Linked DNA regions of Arabidopsis thaliana. Each later gene encodes a partner of the first gene's protein in a complex. Each region holds a gene or a part of one and is shown in the gene's direction. Other genes may lie near its edges.

The links. The genes of interacting proteins can lie anywhere in the genome.
Region 2: HAF01 (region 1) and TAF11 share a complex: the UniProt entries of both Arabidopsis thaliana proteins name them as parts of the TFIID complex.
Region 3: HAF01 (region 1) and TAF8 share a complex: the UniProt entries of both Arabidopsis thaliana proteins name them as parts of the TFIID complex.

Annotation. Positions count from the first base shown.
Region 1 is NC_003070.9:11,853,744-11,858,392, reverse strand, and holds the start of HAF01 (HAC13 protein (HAC13)), read left to right. Parts: upstream 1-1,627; 5' UTR 1,628-1,829; intron 1,830-2,041; 5' UTR 2,042-2,131; coding exon 2,132-2,177; intron 2,178-2,883; coding exon 2,884-2,987; intron 2,988-3,162; coding exon 3,163-3,225; intron 3,226-3,359; coding exon 3,360-3,405; intron 3,406-3,779; coding exon 3,780-4,034; intron 4,035-4,256; coding exon 4,257-4,348; intron 4,349-4,447; coding exon 4,448-4,619; intron 4,620-4,649. Other genes in the region: AT1G32760 (Glutaredoxin family protein), read right to left, coding at 1-142. UniProt on the Arabidopsis thaliana protein: TAFs are components of the transcription factor IID (TFIID) complex that is essential for mediating regulation of RNA polymerase transcription. Core scaffold of the TFIID complex.
Region 2 is NC_003075.7:10,951,999-10,955,597, forward strand, and holds TAF11 (TBP-associated factor 11), read left to right. Parts: upstream 1-1,541; 5' UTR 1,542-1,702; intron 1,703-1,780; 5' UTR 1,781-1,793; coding exon 1,794-2,110; intron 2,111-2,180; coding exon 2,181-2,268; intron 2,269-2,356; coding exon 2,357-2,456; intron 2,457-2,538; coding exon 2,539-2,666; 3' UTR 2,667-3,078; downstream 3,079-3,599. Other genes in the region: BAM3 (Leucine-rich receptor-like protein kinase family protein), read left to right, coding at 1-473, 598-926; AT4G20290 (uncharacterized protein), read right to left, coding at 3,161-3,586. UniProt on the Arabidopsis thaliana protein: TAFs are components of the transcription factor IID (TFIID) complex that is essential for mediating regulation of RNA polymerase transcription.
Region 3 is NC_003075.7:16,426,118-16,429,738, reverse strand, and holds TAF8 (TBP-associated factor 8), read left to right. Parts: upstream 1-1,728; 5' UTR 1,729-1,906; coding exon 1,907-2,968; 3' UTR 2,969-3,100; downstream 3,101-3,621. Other genes in the region: HDR (4-hydroxy-3-methylbut-2-enyl diphosphate reductase), read left to right, coding at 33-107, 177-282, 377-471, 560-745, 819-905, 993-1,058. UniProt on the Arabidopsis thaliana protein: TAFs are components of the transcription factor IID (TFIID) complex that is essential for mediating regulation of RNA polymerase transcription.

The DNA of each region.
Region 1 (4,649 bases):
GTGAAGAAGAGTCGAGATTGAGAAGACCGTAAGTGGTGGAAGTTAGCTTGACGAAATGTTGGCTTAAGGAGGAGCTGGTGAGGTGAGAGAAGCTGCTGTCATCGGTCGGAGTAAGGAGGTTGGAGGAGACGCAACCACCCATCGCCGGAGATTTCGAGGATTAAGCAACGTCGGAGAAAAAATGAATCACGGAGATTGAGTGAAAGAGAGACGGTGAAGTGAGATTAAAGACAAAATAACATAAAACTGCTAATTAGATAAAACTTGTTTATATAAATACAATTTTTCTAAAGTTGGGAAGTGACAATGCACGTGGCTTTGGTGTTCTTTTTAATCCATATTTTTCGTTGAATAAAGAATTCTTTTTTCTTAACAAAATATTTGAGATATTTGTTTTGTTTGATTTTACGTTAATAAAAAAGAGAAAATACAAGGCTTAATTTTAGAACTAGGATTTAGAATCAGGACCACTATTTGGTTGGAGTATAAGGAACAGAAATTGATTTTGATAATTTCGTTAGAAGGAGATAGAGACATTTAACAAGTCAACAAAGTTCATGATGGTTATGGTAAAAATAAAAATAAATTCCTTGTTTAGGTTAAACTAAATAAAGAAAAAATTGCTTGTTGAGGTACATTTGAAAATGTTGAGGTACAATTGTTGAATGGATAATGAATTTTATAAAATCTAATAAGGTAATATTGAATCAATGATTTGGTATGATTATACCATGTTCTTCTTGTATTGGTCGTTGCGATTAAATTTGATGACTAAAAATTAAAGAACGAAATGAGAAATAAATGGCATAATTTATTATAAAATTCGTTGCTGGTTGTTCAAAACTGACAATGGAAGAAAAGCTGGATTATGTTCATTTAGGCCGCTATATTTTTCACGACTCCTACGTTGTTAGATCAATATCTCTATTTTTTCCAACGACACTTCTATTTTTTCAGCGACATCTCCGATCTGTCTATATGGATCATTTTACTTTATTTTTTTTAACGGCTACTGCCGTTTTACTTCGTCATAGTTACCGACGCAGTGGTCCATAAAATAAAAGAACCTATATATTTTCTTAATATCCATTTTTATTCAATCTGGTTTTATTTAATATTAAATTTTTTTATATAATTAAAATCAACATGTTATTGATTTTTATATATGTACAAGGTATGCAATAAAGAGTTTCACATCCGATGTTATTCGATGAAAAAAATAAAACTATCAATTAAACTTGTGTGCCTTAAATTTGGATATTAGAATGTTAGTCGATCGAAAAAATAAAATTAAAGTGATTAAAATATTATTAAAAATTGAAAATTTAAATGTAGAACTATAACAGTTATGTTTTTATAATACTTTTAAAATTCAATTTTCTTTTGCAATTTTGGTAGAAAGATATTTTAAAGAAATATCATAGGTATATATCTATTAAATTCGTAAAATTACCACTGATTAAACAACAACAAAAATTACTTCAGAACCGACTCTATTTCTGCTTAACCACCTCCATACCAAACAACGAAATTGATTTTTCCTGGTTAAGAAATTAGACCCGGACTCAAACTTTATTCGGGTCGGGTTATAAAACTTTTATAAATGCCCTCACAATCTTGTCTTGGTCGCTTCGCAATTTTCTTCTTTTTTTTGTTATTACTTTTTTTTTTCCTCCGATTTGAGAGTTTGCTTACCTCGGAACTTCTCTCCGACATCGTACCGTCTCGTCCGATTGAGCTGGTTTACCTTTCCGGCGAAGCTTACTTGTACCCTCAATTAGGGTTTCAAGAAAGAACCCTCCAATCCAACAATCTCGTATCAGTGAATGGTATCGTATCGTCTTCTTCAATTTTATCCAATGCTTTGATTGCAACTCAGCTTAACTCGAAAATTGATCAATGGGGTTTCGATTTGGTTGTGATTTTAAAGCCAAATTGAGACTCTTTTGATGAAGTTTCAGATAAAGAAGTTAGCTTTTTTTGTTTCCAGGTCCGTTTAGGTTGGCTTGTAATTGTGTAGTTTTTTTTGTTTCTTTTGAAGGTTTTGATTGAGTTTTAATGGTTGGGGATTTGGGAAGGACAATTGCCTTGTCGTCTCCCGATTGTCACCATTGTAGTTAAATCTTTGAATATGGCTGAATCCAATGGCAAGGGTTCCCACAACGAGACTTCCTCAGGTATATATATGTTGCTTTCTTTATCAAAGTTTGTTGCTTTTCTTTTTTCCGGTCCAGTCCATTGTCGACATGATTTCTGAAACTGGAGATGCCCCTGTCTAGCTTATGATTGTTCTACGGTTTTGAATATTTCGGATTAAGTCTCTTTAAGTAGAAAAGGAACAGCCTTGAGTGATTCTGAGTATTGGTTTGTAGGATCTTAATTGACAAAGAGATTGGAAATATTAGGTTGTGGAATTTTGGATTACTACAGTTTGTGAAACTAGAGATGTCCCTGTCTAGCTAGTGTTTGGTGCATTTAGGCTAGCTCATGACCGATTTACGGTTTTGAATATTTTGGATTTCTTTAAGTAGAAAAGGAGCAGTCTTGAGTGATCCTGGACATGTTCTAGGGTATAGTTAAGATTATTTTTTCTAAATTTCTAGAGGGAATTGAGTTTGTAGGATCTTAGATGACGAAGAGAATGGGAATAGTAGTTTCACTAGATGGAGGCTACTGTAGCCTGATAAGATGATGGAGAGGAATCCAATGATTATGTGACCTTGGATTTAGCAGTTTAACAAGAGTGTTAACATGCAATCTTTGTGATTTCTGAATACTCGTGATGATAATCAGTTATCACATGCATTCCCATTTTACACCAATATTTTACATGTCTGCCAAGATTTGTTTGGTGAACACCAATATTTTACATGTCTGCTGCAGATGACGATGATGAATATGAGGACAACAGCAGGGGTTTTAACCTTGGATTCATCTTTGGAAATGTTGATAACTCTGGGGACTTGGACGCTGATTACCTTGATGAGGTAATCTGTTTTACGCTTTCAGTATGATGACCTTGTTGAACACATTATTTTCATTATCGGTCTCAGTTTTTCTGTCTATTCTCTCTGGACTTAGGATATATGTATTTTATTAACTATGAGTTGCAAATTCTCCACCAAGCATACCTGTGCCAATGCTAACATTTAAACTTTTCAGGACGCCAAAGAACATCTTTCTGCATTGGCAGATAAGCTGGGTTCATCTCTACCAGATATAAATGTAACGTTCTACACACTCTTTAATATTTTATCTTCTAAAGTTTATAGACGAGTGAACTGCGAGTCTTTTATGTGGTTTTTAATCCTCTTTTTCTTGTACTGGGATGCCAATAATGGTGTTTCTAAACTCAACAGTTATTGGCAAAATCAGAACGTACAGCAAGTGATCCAGCTGAGCAAGGTGATGTTGTCTGCCAGGGTCGTCTATCTTATGCAGTTTTTATTGTTCATTTAACTTCTAGTTTTCATTCTACCGTTTCTTTAAACCATACTGGAGTAGCTTCTAGGAAACCTGCTAGAAAGTTTTTCTCCCAGTGAATGTTTCCATCACAATGGTCTTGCACTCTTCTTACTTTCGTTGTAGTCATAATCCAATTATTATTGGATTGTTTAAGAAAGTGTCTTGCGTAATTTATATGCATAAACATTTTAACTACTCACGTTTACAATCTTTAAATATGCAACATTCCTGCCCGTAGCATTTACATACTGACACTATTTACACTACCAAATCCTGGTCATCAGCGTCATTGACTGTGGTGATATGTTGTGTAGATTATGATAGAAAAGCTGAGGATGCTGTTGATTATGAGGATATTGATGAAGAGTACGATGGGCCCGAAGTTCAAGTAGTCAGTGAGGAAGATCATCTACTGCCAAAAAAGGAGTATTTTTCGACTGCAGTTGCTTTGGGTAGTTTAAAGTCCAGAGCTTCTGTGTTTGATGATGAAGATTATGACGAGGAAGAAGAACAAGAGGAGGAGCAAGCGCCAGTTGAAAAATCTCTTGAAACTGAAAAGAGGGAACCAGGTTTGCATTTCGAAATTTCCGTTTCTTGAACAAAACAATTATCCCATAGTAAAGTGTACTTTTGTTGTGTTATCTCATCACTCAAATTGGTTTTGTTAAGTCATTCTTCCTGTAATTATACTTGTTGAGCTCAGGCAAATGATTACTTGCAAAGCTGTAGTCTAGTGTGATTTAAGTCCTTGAGAATATAAACTTAACAAGACAAAAAAAATTGCGTTGCAGTTGTCTTAAAGGAAGACAAGGCCTTGGAGTATGAAGAGGAGGCTAGCATCTTGGATAAAGAGGATCATATGGACACCGAAGATGTCCAGGAGGTCAGTTTCCCCTCAAAATAAAGGGAAATTGTGTCTCAAATAACATATTTTTGCTGTGGGATGATTTTGTTATGTTAGTGATCTCATCAAAACATTCAGGAGGAGGTGGATGAGTTATTGGAAGGTACATTGGATGACAAAGGCGCCACCCCACTGCCTACGTTGTATGTGGAAGATGGTATGGTTATCTTACAGTTCTCCGAGATATTTGCTATCCATGAGCCTCCACAGAAACGGGATAGGAGAGAAAATAGATATGTCACTTGTAGAGGTATGTGATCTGGAATGTTCTTCCTCTTTT
Region 2 (3,599 bases), on another chromosome or scaffold:
AGGGGTAATGCCAAACGGAGAAGAAGTTGCAGTCAAGAAGCTCTTAACCATAACCAAAGGATCATCTCATGACAACGGTTTAGCCGCAGAGATTCAGACATTAGGTAGAATCAGACACAGAAACATAGTGAGATTGCTCGCTTTTTGTTCAAACAAAGACGTGAATCTCCTTGTTTACGAGTATATGCCTAATGGTAGCCTCGGAGAAGTCTTGCACGGGAAAGCTGGAGTGTTTTTGAAATGGGAAACACGGTTGCAAATAGCGTTGGAAGCGGCTAAGGGGTTGTGTTATCTTCACCATGATTGCTCGCCACTTATAATCCACCGTGATGTGAAGTCAAACAACATCTTGTTGGGTCCTGAGTTTGAAGCTCATGTTGCTGATTTTGGGCTTGCTAAGTTTATGATGCAAGACAATGGAGCTTCCGAGTGCATGTCCTCGATCGCTGGCTCGTACGGCTACATCGCTCCAGGTACATGACTGATTCCTAATACTACTTTCTTGTATCACACGTAACATTCAAACTTAGGATTTCAGTACTTCTAGTTAAAACGTATGATTGATCTTAGCCCATTTTATCCGTTTCTTGAATGCAGAATATGCATATACACTGAGAATAGACGAGAAGAGCGATGTGTACAGCTTCGGAGTAGTGTTATTGGAGCTGATTACGGGTCGAAAACCAGTAGATAATTTTGGGGAAGAAGGGATAGACATTGTGCAATGGTCAAAGATCCAAACAAACTGTAACAGACAAGGTGTGGTGAAGATCATTGACCAGAGATTGAGCAATATTCCATTAGCAGAGGCCATGGAACTGTTCTTTGTGGCAATGCTATGTGTGCAAGAACATAGTGTTGAGAGACCGACCATGAGAGAGGTTGTCCAGATGATCTCTCAGGCTAAACAGCCTAATACTTTCTAAATGCAGTGATGTTATATATATAAGAGACTAAATATATATTTTTCTGTTTTATGTGTTTCATAGAGTTTTGTTTTTAGAATTTGTAATGATGGTTTGGTGGTGATATGAGTTTATATTGAAATTGAGGAGGAAAAAAAGGGTTAGCATTATATCTTCCTATCATAAAGTATCAAGCAAAACTAAATAACATTTGCTAGAAAATTATGAATTATGTGAAAGATTTGAAAAAATAGATAACTGTTCTTTGATTCATTTGGAATTATAAAAATCATGATGACCAAAGAAAAATGTTGAAATCACTCAAGCATTTGATTTAACATATGATTATCCAATATCTATAGAAATAGTTAGCATTTGAGTGTTTTTACTTTTTAGTATCCAATTCACTATCATTGATATTTTTAATTTTGTTGTCTAGCTCGATTTATAACATTTGGCTAGTTGTAAATCGTTATCCCAACATTGTATTCCAAAAAAAAAAACCAGTTAGTTATTCAGTGGTTTTGAACTGAGCCCAGCCCAAATCCAATGATGTGGTTCTCGAAACTTTTTGGGTTGGTTTAACAAAAACCGGTTCAGATCTTTTCTTTTGATCCACCAATTGATTGGACTAAACCGACTTATAACAGTCGCTACACTCCTATAGAAAAGCTTGAAATTGAACACAGTCGATGAATTTTCCTCTCCGCCTGGAAGATTGTGGAGCTCCCAGTTGTTGTTAACAACGGTCTAGAGATTCGTGTCTCTTGAAATTCGATCTGAGTTTCACCTTCAAGGTTCGTCAATGATCCGTAGCAATTTGCTTCGTTCTAAACCCTAATTTGAGATCTCAATTATGTGATTTTTTCGTTTAGGTTTTAATCAGGAATGAAGCATTCAAAGGATCCGTTTGAAGCAGCGATTGAGGAAGAGCAAGAGGAATCGCCACCGGAATCACCCGTTGGCGGAGGAGGAGGAGGTGATGGTAGTGAAGACGGACGAATTGAAATCGACCAGACTCAAGATGAAGATGAGAGACCTGTGGATGTTCGCCGTCCGATGAAGAAAGCTAAAACCTCTGTTGTTGTTACTGAAGCTAAGAACAAAGATAAAGATGAAGATGATGAAGAAGAGGAAGAGAATATGGATGTTGAGCTTACTAAATATCCAACTAGTTCTGATCCTGCTAAAATGGCCAAAATGCAGTGAGTCTTTGTAGAATTTTGATTGTTCTTCATGTTTCTTTGATGATTGATTGTTTGTTGAATTCTTCAGAACCATATTATCGCAATTCACTGAGGATCAGATGAGTAGATATGAATCTTTTAGGAGATCTGCACTTCAAAGACCACAGATGAAGAAGGTATATATGTTATATGATTTGTGGTTATCAACATTCTTAATTTTGTTTCATTGCAAATATGAACCATTTAGCTTTTATGTTAATGCAGTTATTGATAGGTGTCACTGGTAGTCAGAAGATTGGTATGCCAATGATTATTGTTGCGTGTGGTATTGCAAAGATGTTCGTTGGTGAACTCGTTGAAACAGGTAAGCCAGTGCAAAAATTTCCAATGATTTTGTTTATGTGCCAACAAAGCTCATTTACTGAACCTCAATACATTATCTGTAGCTCGAGTTGTTATGGCGGAAAGGAAAGAATCAGGACCTATCAGACCTTGTCATATCAGGGAGTCTTATCGGAGACTAAAGCTCGAAGGAAAAGTGCCTAAAAGATCAGTTCCACGCCTTTTCCGCTAGTCAACAAGAGCCAAAAGAGAACTTATATCAGCCTAAGACTGGGGAATTTACCAATGCTGCTCAAGGATAAGGGTCTACGGCAGGTTTAAGCTGGCGAGATTTGCCTATCAATCTCATCATAAAGGAGAACTTCTTTGGCTTCCCTGGTGGATCATATTGTTCTTTGATGTTCTTAACTTTGTGTGACAACTTTTGTAGTAAATCAATCTTTGGATACAGACCCTGAAATGGCTATCAGTCTTACGGTTTGGTTTTTATTTGGTTTACGTTTCCAGTTTTCATTTTCAATACAAGATCAATCTTTGACTACAGACCACATGGCCTAAAAGTGGCAATCCGGTTTACTAGGTTGGATTCGGTTTCATTTCCGGTTTTATAGAATTCGAAATCAAATAAAATCATTTGTAATCCGGTTTATTTGGTTAAATTTGGCTATACCTAAAAATTGGTTTTAGTATTGATTCGTTTTTGGTCGAACATTACAAGAACTGGGTTTATAAGTTCAAATTCAAATTGTGTATTTCTTCGGCGTGATTGAAAACCGTCGCGATCAGAATTCGGTCTACTGTCAAAATTGGTACGGAGACGTTTTGAATCACACAAGTTCCGGCGAAAGAGGATCTAGTGGGCCTGATAATGGGCCGATCTCGAAACGAACTATTACGTGAAGAGAAGAAAACAAAGTGGGTTGCGAATTGAAAGTCTACAGAAAATAAAAGGACTGGATTGGAAAAATAAAAAGAATAAAAGAAGTTTTGACACAATAACGCACCCACTATCTTTCTCCTTCCCTTCCGCCTTCCTTCTTCTTCTTCTTCTTCTTCATCCTCCTCACTGTTTAACGCAGAGCGCCTCCGTTTCTTCTCTTCTCCTCCTCTCTCTTTTCTCTCTACACAAATATTTTTCCCTTCTTTTTTCATTCTCTTTATTCAA
Region 3 (3,621 bases), on another chromosome or scaffold:
TTACTGATGGGGTACCTTATTACTGAGCACAGGCAAATTACGTTTGTGATTACATTCTCGGTGGCCAATACGATGGATCTAGCTCCACAAAAGAGGAGTTCATGGAGGTATGTAAGCTTATTTTGCTAATTCTTTGTATCATTCTGGTTTTTCTAATCTCTATGTTGGCGTTGTAGAAATTCAAATACGCAATTTCGAAGGGTTTCGATCCCGACAATGACCTTGTCAAAGTTGGTATTGCAAACCAAACAACGATGCTAAAGGGAGAAACAGAGGAGATAGGTTAGTTACTCTACCGTTTTTTTACATGACAATCGTCTTTTATCCTTGGAAACAAAAACACCTTAGTTTGAGTCTCATGCCAAAAACCCCACAGGAAGATTACTCGAGACAACAATGATGCGCAAGTATGGAGTGGAAAATGTAAGCGGACATTTCATCAGCTTCAACACAATATGCGACGCTACTCAAGTAAAATTCCCATACCTCAAAAACCATGCATCTAGACAAGTTTTACACTTGAGGAAGTGTTTATTCATCAATACTATAATCTCTTCAGGAGCGACAAGACGCAATCTATGAGCTAGTGGAAGAGAAGATTGACCTCATGCTAGTGGTTGGCGGATGGAATTCAAGTAACACCTCTCACCTTCAGGAAATCTCAGAGGCACGGGGAATCCCATCTTACTGGATCGATAGTGAGAAACGGATAGGACCTGGGAATAAAATAGCCTATAAGCTCCACGTAAGCGCATTTCAAAACTAACTTACTCCTTACCAAACTGCATTCACTGATTTTTTCTATTTTACATTGATAGTATGGAGAACTGGTCGAGAAGGAAAACTTTCTCCCAAAGGGACCAATAACAATCGGTGTGACATCAGGTGCATCAACCCCGGATAAGGTATATATATATTTGCAGCTATATTTTTGTTTGGTTCTCTTGTTTCCCACACGAACATGAGTGAAAATATTTGTGAAAAAATTACAGGTCGTGGAAGATGCTTTGGTGAAGGTGTTCGACATTAAACGTGAAGAGTTATTGCAGCTGGCTTGATTCGGCATTGTGATCGTATTCAAATACTATTTGTCATGTCAAGAGTGTACTAAAATATATGTAGTTGTATGATTTGTCTTTATAACTTTTGTAAGAGGTTTTGTAATTCAAAGTCAACATCCTCGTTATCTTACTCCACTTAATGTTCTTACCATAATCGCAATTAGACTGATATAGAACTTGAGACTGTGTAAGGCTGTCATTATCGAGAAGTTGTCACTAAAACAACTAGGTTATGAATCTCCGCGGTATCGGGAAAGAACTCATTTTCAACAAATCGAGCCACAAGAGTTTCTAAAATAGTTTAATGTAACGAAACTCGGGAAGTTGTCAAGAGTTCTCCCGCGATATTTCGTTATGTTTGGAAAATTTTCAAAACAATGTAATGAAATATCGCGGAGAACTCATTTTCAACAGAATCACTCATCCGAATTTCTAAAATAGCTTCATAAATTTTTACGAAATACCGCAGAAAAACTTATTTTCAACAAAATCAGCCACGCCAATTTCTTATAAAATTTTCCAATAATTTTTTGGGTTATGATTACTACAATTTACATTTGTTTAATTTTAAACCAAAATTTTGGTCTAAAAAAAAAAAAAAAAGTTGGTAGTTAATTTTGGGGTTGGAGCTCTATATAAGCGAGAGATGGCAGGATTCTCAAGACGCATTTCTCTCTGTCTCTCTTTCTCTCTTCATATTTCCCGGTGCTTCGTCGACGTTAGGTCTTTTCCGTTGACGGAGGCAAATTTCTTCGATTCTCTTTAAACCGGCGGTCCATGTGGTCTTACCGACGAGAAAACCCTAATTTCAGGGATTAGATAGCTTTTTGAAACAAATTAGAGCAATGAACACAGAGAGAGCTCAAGAAGGTGATAGGAACGATGCCGCATCTTCCTCTGGCTGCTCCGAGTCCTACGAGTTTAGCCACGCAGCCGCTAAAGCTGCAGTAGCTCAGGTCTGCGAGAGCGTTGGGTACGAGAATTTCAAGGATCCAGCTCTCGAATCTCTATCTGGATTCGCACTCCAGTACATTCTTCAGCTAGGTAAAACCGCTACTTCCTTCGCTAATCTAACTGGTAGGAGTCAGTGTAACGTGTTCGATATCATTCTCGCTTTGGATGATTTGACTGATAACAATGGCGAACAAGGAATTTCGTCTGAGAGTTGTTCATTAGGTCGTTCGATTAAACTTAGGGAGATTATCGATTTCGTTAATTCGAGTGAAGAAGTCCCTTTCTCGCAGCCATTGCCAAGTTTTCCTGTAGCTATAAGTGATAGGAGTAGGAAGATGATCCCAAGCTTTGTTGAAATTGGTGAAACTCCACCTGGGAAACATATTCCTTTGTGGCTACCAGCTTTTCCTGATCCTCATACTTATAAGGAAACCCCTATGTGGATCGAAAGAGTATCAGATCCAAGGGGAGATAAGATTGAACAAGCGAGGCAGAGACGAAAGGCTGAGAGAGCTTTGTTGAGTTTGCAGAGGAAACTTGTTTGTAAAATCTCCTCAAGGAATCCTGTGTGGGGAGATATGGATGGTGTGAAAGAAGAAATGAGAGATGATGAGAGTGAACTGCGTTCTGTATCGTCCGGGGAGAAAGTCGAATCATTGAATAGAGATGGCTTATCAGTGATAGAGGCATTTGCTCCTGCTATGGAGGCTGCAAGAGATGGGTTTTCTAGTGAAGCTCACACTGAATGGAAGAAGAATAAACCTGTTGCTCTTTCTAAGCTCAGAACCGAGAAGAAATTTCTCGGACAACCTTTGGATCTAAGTCTACAGATGAAGGGTGAAGATAGACCCATATCCTTTGTGCGTGAGGAGGATAGAGATGACAAAAGAAGAAGAGCGGAGTTCATTTTGAGACAGTGTATGGAGAACCCAGTAGACCTCAATCAGTTGTAAAATAAGTGATTCATTACAGTCTGTGTAGCGTACTATTAATCTTGTGATTTGTAACCTTTCTTTATACAGGCCTATGTTATGATTATGATTTTGTGACTGAAAGAATGAGAATTTCTAACCTATCTTTTAGGCAATTGATATGATGTCTTTCTCATGAGATTCTTGTTACATAACTTAATGTTAGTTTCAGTTTCATGTCTCATGAGTGGGAGCCAGGGACCAGTGTGGAAGGAGTTTAGTCTTGTATCATTGCTATATTTCCAAACCAAGTCAAGTGGTCTGAGGTAAGTATATTTTCTTTGGTCGACATGTGTTTTGCTTCGTGATGTTTATGGGGTGTGAAACATATCACTGTATCAGAATTAAGATTATGTTATGTCAATTAGTTGAGAGCTCGAGGTTAGAAAGGAAAGCTAGGTTATTGAGTTGGGGCCTTGTGGATTAATGTAGGATTTTGCTTTGGACACTGGGCGATAGATAAGAGACTTACTTCTCTCGTTAATCAAGCCTCTTAAGAGTTTACGAGAACTGAATCCTATCACAGTTCCTTTAACTAACACCCCTAGTTTTCAGATTCCATACTTATGATTTAGTTTTTCGTCTATTAGCCCACCACTCTGATATCAGTATATATAGACTCCTGGCAGAACCAT